Xenopus tropicalis: one gene and its partner. The protein of the gene in region 1 interacts with the protein of each later gene in a biochemical or structural test. Links are inferred from orthologs where the notes say so. Each region holds a gene or a part of one and is shown on either strand. Other genes may lie near its edges. The genes, in order: arhgef12 and igf1r.

Region 1 (3,830 bases):
ACGGAGAGATGTTGCGGCTATAACTCACTGCTGGATTTGACAGGAGGCACGAACGATGGCAAGTGAGGGAGCAGGCAGAGCTGGACACGAAGGGAGAGATAGGACAGGAGGCAGGATTGCTAGTGAGGGAGCAGGAAGGGCTCGGAACAGAGGGAGAGCTATGACAGGAGGCAGGGTCACAAGAGAGGGAACTGGAGGAGTTAGGAAGGGGGGGGGGGAGAGAAAAGGTTGTGCTGCTATAACTGACTGCTGGATTTGACTGGAGGCACAATCGCAAATCAGGGAGCAGGGGGGCTAGGAAGGAGGGTGAGAAAAGATCCTGATCAGTCCTGTGAACCTCCTGTAAAATCCAGCTGTTAATTATACCAGCACAATCTTTTGAGTTCCAGCTCCCCTCCACTGAATATTTTTTATCTGTTCCCAGCACAATACTTTTCTGGTAAGGCATCCTAGTGATCCCTTCTCCCCAGCCCATGCCACTGCTGTGCCAATTTTTTCATATTTCATATATTTCACATTTTCTGTTAACCATTACCTTTTTTCCAATCTTGCTGTACCAGAAATATGTTTCCAAAAAGTTCCACATCTTACATTCTTTTATTCCTTGTTCCTCTGTGCCCTTATCCTGTCCACAATCTCCTCTACCTGTTTGCTCCTGCCATTCTGTCCTATATTTATCTTTGCTGCTTCTGTGTGCCATGCTGCCTCCCATCTGTATCCTCACTACTCCAGTGTGCCATACTGCCTCCCATCTGTACCCTCAGAGCTCCAGTGTGCCATACTGCTTCCCATCTGTATCCTCAGAGCTCCAGTGTGCCATACTGCTTCCCATCAGCTACACCTCAGATTTTCAAAAACTGGCAGAAAACATGCAGTGCCAGATTTCACACTAATATTTTGATATTATATAACATTTTAATATAGTGTATATTATTATTATTAAAAATTGTGTTTGCGCTACTGTTCACGTATTGTGTTGCTCACGAACAAGTTTTGCAGCTGAATGTTACTCACGGGGTAAAAAAGGTTGGGGATCCCTGTATTACCTATATTGTAAAAGTGCCACTCACCAAGGTGATTAAAATACCTTTGTTTCAAGAGCAGTTATAAATGATATGCAATGTAAATAACCTATTAAATATAACCATGACAGACTACAGCTGGTCCAGGGTAATATGTATAGATATGTGTGTAACATTTAGTAGTATATGAGGTGTGTGTGTGTGTGTGTGTGTAAGAGTGTTAATATATGTCTCCCAAAGGGGAAGACAAATATATCTCCATGTTCCAGAATATATGCCTGCCTTCATTGTTGCACCCGCCATCATGTATCTGTAAAAAGCAATAGTATATGTTAAATTAGTTTGTCATTATTACAAATTTACTTTCCAAAATTTGTGAATGATCAGGGCAGGTTCATACACTATGTGACCGATACTATTTAATAGAAACTATCTGTTGGTTAAGTATTCATTCTGGGGGTATAGTGTTTCTTATAGTTAAATGCACACCTACCATGGGATAGCTGAATAAGTGTGCTTGAGGACCTAAATAGATTTCATAGATCTGCATTCTTTGTATACTTCTTGTAGATTGTAAGCTCTTTTGGGCAGGGCCCTCTTCACCTTTTGTATCGGTTATTGATTGCTTTATATGGTACTCTGTATGTCCAATGTATGAAACCCACTTATTGTACAGCACTGCGGAATATGCTGGCGCTTTATAAATAAATGTTAATAATAATATACTGAAAAATGCTGTTTATTCACAGCAATACCATACAATATGTGATTCTAACCTATATGAAGCATCTTGGTGTGAAAGTTAAAGAGCCACGAAGTCTTGAACAGAAACGTGGTCGAATTGGATTCCTCCCAAAAATTAAGGTAAATTAAGATATCTTAATCTTCCAGTGTTTTATATTGTCCGCATTAGTATCCATTAATGTCCAGTAGTACCGTAAGCTTTATATGCAGTTAAAAAAAATCGATAAAAAAATCCATATATACAGATATGTATATGCATATACAGATATCTAAGTAAATTTATATCTGTGTATGTACATATGTGTGTATATATCTATATACATATATACAGCTATAAATCACATTTGCACTTTGATGAAAACACTAAAAATATTGTCTACTTATCTGAAATAAGCAAACCTTCTGTTTTGCTCTTGTTTTAGCAAAGTATGAAGAAAGATCGGGAGGGTGAGGAAAAGGTGAAGCGAAGAGGGTTTCCCAGCATCCTTGCACCTCAGAGGAAGCCTAGCCGACAAGATAGTAATGCAAGTACGTATAAATCCTACCAGTCACATTGCAAATTGTTGTCACTAATTATCTAAATATTCCAACCCAGGACCTCAGACTATATGGCTAATTTGGTATTCTCAATAACTGAATATTTGTCTGCATGCTAATGAGGATGATGAGTGTGTATAAGAGAGTGAGCATGTCAAAAACTCCTCCAGGAACAGTACCAATCGTTATATGAAGAAGCAGCATATAAATAACTGGAATTCAGAATAGAGTGATTAAATAATAATGGTTAGCTCTAAAATATAGTTGAGAAACATCTATAATATCTCAGCCTATGTTGGCAGGTATATCACTGATAACCTGTGATGCAGATACTGCTGTTTAAAGGGATACAATCTTTCATTTAAAATGTAATGTTAAGTAAATCCAGCTAAAAAATGAAAAGGTAGTTTCTCAGTTTATATATGAAAAATGTACATCCTTGCAGTTTCTTTCCAGTCAATGTTTCACTGCACAGAATGAGTCTGAAGTGTATATATGTGCCTATTTGCCATGAAAACTCCCTCTGTAAGGCACTTACAGAATTATTCTATGAGTTTATCAGGAGAATACTGCATATCTTTACTTGGGCCTGAATATCCAGTTGGACATTTACCCTTATATGAGCATATGTGCTGGTCATAGTAAGGTTGCAGTAACAACCAAATAAGTGCATATTAAAACTCCATACACAAAGCAGTTGTGTCCAGATTGCTACTTACTAATCTGAATTAGTAAGGCACAGTATTCAGAGGCACCAGAAGAGCCATGGACTTTACATCTGCACTTACAGCCTCCAAGCTTCTAATAGCCAAAATGTTTTAGTGGAACTGGCAAGTAATTAACAGGTATATGTTTAGCAGCTATAGAGTCCTATATTTGATTTCCGCATGAGCAGTACAGGTGTATATTCAAGGAGGTTTTACTTTCTCACCATACATGTTTCAGCTTGTTACTTCTGTTTCCTCATACAATTAGTTCCAAATAAATTAGACCACACTGCGTGTGAATAGGTTGTAAACTTCACTGGGGCAGGGAATTATGTAAATGGTGTATAACCTCTTTAAAACTCTGCAGAATATGTTGGCGTTATGTAAATAATCCATTTTGCCATATAACTTGTACCATTGGCATGAATATTTGTGTCCCCCCCCAACTAGTTCGCCAAATTAATATGGTTCCCGTTAGGGAAAAAATGATAGAAAAACTGGTTTATTAACACTTTTACGATGTCTTGATTTTTATGTTCAGTTGGCAGGGCTATGGAACTTCAGCGGCCACGCCACCCCAAGCACTTATCCACATCTTCATCCAGTAGCCCTGAACCAGCAGATGGAAGTAGATTGCGCACTAGCGGTGGCTCCATTGAGGGTTCTGACACACCGTTCTCTCCATCATCTAATTTGGGTGCAGCATACACCTTTCAGGAAGTTGGCAGAGAAGTGGAAGGAAGTTAGTACCTCTCTTACAAGACAAATTTATAAGTTATTTAATTGCTTATTTTTTAATTGCTATGGAAAACATTAAAAT
Region 2 (3,830 bases), on another chromosome or scaffold:
ACTGGATGTGTGCATTGTTGTGAAACCACTGAGGTAAGGATGTCAAAGGGGCATTGTAAGTTGCTGACAAGCGATGTGGCAGGCCCCCTCCTCATGGCCTGACACATAAGCTGGTGCACTCATCTACTCTTTTTATCTTCACATGACTTTTCCAGTCACTTGTTGCCCCTGTCCCAACGTTTTTGAAACGTGTTGCTGGCATCATCATCATCATCATCATCAAAATGTACATATGTTTTTTAGAAAACAAAACTTCTCATTTTTGATGTTGTATTTGAACTATTGTTATTACTTAAAAGGTTTAAATGGTTTGCAAATCATCACATTCTCTTTTTATTTTTAACATTTGTCACATTCCCCCAACCTCTTTGGAGACGGGGTTGTACAAATAGAGCTGTCCACTCTAAAGGGCAGAATTAACATGTCAACAGACCACTTTAACAATTGTCAAATACCTACAATGGGGTAAAAAGTGTCAGTCCAGGAAAGAGGTCTTCTGCTATTGGCTTAAAGAGGCTAAACTAGGATACCTTCACTGATGACTCCCTGCATGGTGATTTCAGCTGGTTCATAAGACATTCTAGGGCACAGATTTAAAGGTCATACACACTACATTCTATAATGCAACTGTGATCCTGTTTGGCGAGTTCAAATGAAGTGATCCGGTTAGCTGGATCACACTCCAACACATGCTGTCTATGGTAACAGAAGGGTAATGTTGCCATTATGAAAAAGAATCTTAGCTGCACGTGGTGGACCCAATCCTTGTTCTTGTATTCTAGACTTTAGCAACTGGCTGTCTTGTGAGAGGCTTACTGATTTGCACTTTACATAATCCATCATCCCTTGTATCACCCAAAGGTACAGCTGATCCATTTCAAGCTCCAAGGCGTGGCTTAAATCACAGGTTAGATCAATAAACATGGTTCACAGGTTCAACACTCTTTCCTACTAAACCACAAAGTTCTTTACCAGAGTCTTATCAATTTAATACAACAAGGTAATTCACACAACTCATTACAGACATTGTAAGTTGGTATCTACAGTCATTGAGCGTTTCATTATGCCATTGTTTTGTAGTATCATAGAGCTAAAAATTTATGGCGAGTGCTTTATGGATTATGGCACATTGATTGTTTTGATGGTGGTAGTCTTCACAAAAGAAACAATAGAGGTCAAAACACCCCACACAGTTAAATTGTAACATAGTGATTGCTGTGGCGCTCTTGCTTACCTTGGCACAAAAATGGAATTGTGGAGGAAATTTTCAAAAACCTTTCTGTATTCAGCTTCATCTTTTTCTGCTTTTTTCTCTGCCTCGGTTTTAGGACAGGCACAGCAATGGCCCTTTTCTCCTGTGTTGCCTTCTGGCTTTGTCAGCTCTGTCACACCTTCAGTATCAATGGTCCCATTGGCGTATTTCCGATTGGGTACTTTATCTGAAAGCAAAATAACATGATGTACACCATTTCATTTCCTAAAGACAGCATAGAAAAGCTGTACTGTATTTGCTTAAAAACAGGCAACACCAGTGCTGCTTTGCCATGAAATCATTTGAAGATACTGGACATGTAACCCTCAGAGCACTGCACACCACTATAATAATCTTCCCACACACAACAGGAGGCTACAGTGACAGTCGCCGCACCTCTGAAGCAATAGTTGTACTGATACAAGTGTCTGTCCTGAGGCTGCTGCTGCCATCGCACAATATAGTAGGAGAGGTTCCCATTTGGTTGACTGGGTGAGTTCCACTTCACCACCAGCTGAGAAGACGAGTTGGATGCGGAGATCACATCTTGGGGGATGGAAGGAACTGGAATTAAAAACAAAAAAAACAATTATGTTAGAATTCATCCTCATGCTTAGAACAAGCTGTACATATGACTCTGAATAACATACCCTATTAGCAAAGCACTGCAAAATGAACATGGCAGAAAACTCTGCATCAGTCAAGCTATAATCTAGAAAAGTCACAATCATGGCAGGCAATGGGCTGTGGCTTCCTTCTTGTGATGGTGAATCCCCAAGCTGTATGAGTGCATACTGTGTTTGCAGACTCATGCAGGGTGTGTAGATGCTCCAGGCAAAAAGACACAGGGGTGACATACATCTCAGCGTGATTGTCTTTTCAGTTCTGCAAACCCTGGAGATGCTCGGCAATCCCTCTGGAACCCATTTCCCATCAATTTTAACAAGTTCCTTTCATTGCCTTATGGGAGCTGACAAAGTCTGTGTTCCCCTGTATTTTCAGTCTTTTAAATTTTACCATCAGCTGTAACATACTGCACTTGTGTAATCATGCATTCCTCCTAAACAAGATTTACCTTACTGCTATCTTTCAATTTAGGTGGTAAGCTTTATTCTGGCATTCAACCAAATGCCTTGTTGGTAGGGTCACTGGTTTTGGTAACCAGGCATTTGCAAGAATGACAGAAAGCAAAAAAAACCTTTAAACTAAAACATTATCTTCTTATTCCAGCACTTTAACATCATATAAATATTATAGGTATGTATTTGCTTTGGCTGAACACATACCTGCTGCATCTGTTCGTATATATATGATCTTGCTTTTGGCACCATGAATATGACGGCTCTCCAGCATGGTCAAGGTAATAGCCTTCACATAGATTGCATATTGTGTCCAAGGCTTCAGTCCCTGCAGGAGGATTCCAGGGTCACTTTCCTTGCTGGCTGGGAGGTCCACATCAACCATATTCCAGCTGTTGGATCCACATGCATCCTGACCATCATACTCTGTTACATTATGGAAGAGTCTGAAGTGTAAGAAAAAGGAAGCAGAGACATAATCAGAGGAAAGCCTAAAAGCTAAATGCAGCAAAATTGGAAATTTGGAAGCTGTGTTGTTTTTGTTTGGCTTACAAGAGATATAAGCTTAGCTGAGAAACAAAGAAAACTGCAGTTAACTGGCTACTTATTAAAATGCCCATATTGTATGTGAATGTCATAGGGACATTTAACTGTTAACTCCACTGGGGAAGGGGCTGATTAGAGTGACAGACAATTTTTGAAAAGAATTGTGGAAATGTGTTATATATAAATAAAATAATTACTTGCTAGATCTTTTCACCATTTAGATAATACTAGACATCTAACCATTCTGCAGCATTAGTACCCCTAGACAAAACATTTACTGTCTTATCATTAACCTGTTCTGATACAGAAGTCGCTTGTGTCTAAGGATACTATGCAATGTGAATATGGACTAATATTCTAATCACACTTTATATATATTTATAGTGTATAAGCTGGGCCCTAGATCTGGTGATTAACATTACAACCAGAACATGTGAATCAGCAGAAAGATGTAAAGCATTCTCCAAGCCACAAATATATTCAGTGTTAAAGGGATGTGATGGCTTTGTAGGCTGGCACAAAACATAAGAAGCAACATTCCTAGCCTAATATATTGCAGAGCATTATCACTTAAACCTCATTTTGCTCTGCCCTTTATATAAAAGGACAGAACACCTAGAACAGATAGATGGTAAAGAATGCTGCATTGCTGATATATATCCAAGAAGCAGCACTAACTATAATTTAATCTATGCTTAGCTTTTTACACCTTTATTAGAGGAAACCATTATAGATCAACCTTTAACTGACAGTTCATCCTTGGGTAAGTGCAAGCGCCACAGGAATATGGTTGTAATGTGGGACTCACGCCTCTTTGTAGTAGACAGTGAAGCTGATAAGGTCTCTGTAATCCGGTGGCCTGTAGCGCTCCCATGTAAACTTAATCCGGTTCTTACTTGTGATTATGGAGGTGAAATTTAAGACGTGACTCTCGCCTGTAAATGAGACACATC

The links.
Region 2: the proteins of arhgef12 (region 1) and igf1r form a complex in vitro, tested with the Homo sapiens proteins (2 studies listed by BioGRID and IntAct, with this or other methods). The link is inferred for Xenopus tropicalis from reciprocal best matches to the Homo sapiens genes ARHGEF12 and IGF1R.

What each region holds. Positions count from the first base shown.
Region 1 is NC_030683.2:78,844,486-78,848,315, reverse strand, and holds part of arhgef12 (rho guanine nucleotide exchange factor 12), read left to right. Parts: intron 1-1,771; coding exon 1,772-1,886; intron 1,887-2,188; coding exon 2,189-2,294; intron 2,295-3,551; coding exon 3,552-3,752; intron 3,753-3,830. UniProt on the Homo sapiens protein: May play a role in the regulation of RhoA GTPase by guanine nucleotide-binding alpha-12 (GNA12) and alpha-13 (GNA13). Acts as guanine nucleotide exchange factor (GEF) for RhoA GTPase and may act as GTPase-activating protein (GAP) for GNA12 and GNA13.
Region 2 is NC_030679.2:114,865,068-114,868,897, forward strand, and holds part of igf1r (insulin-like growth factor 1 receptor), read right to left. Parts: intron 3,813-3,830; coding exon 3,686-3,812; intron 2,778-3,685; coding exon 2,539-2,777; intron 1,817-2,538; coding exon 1,649-1,816; intron 1,440-1,648; coding exon 1,235-1,439; intron 1-1,234. UniProt on the Homo sapiens protein: Receptor tyrosine kinase which mediates actions of insulin-like growth factor 1 (IGF1). Binds IGF1 with high affinity and IGF2 and insulin (INS) with a lower affinity. The activated IGF1R is involved in cell growth and survival control.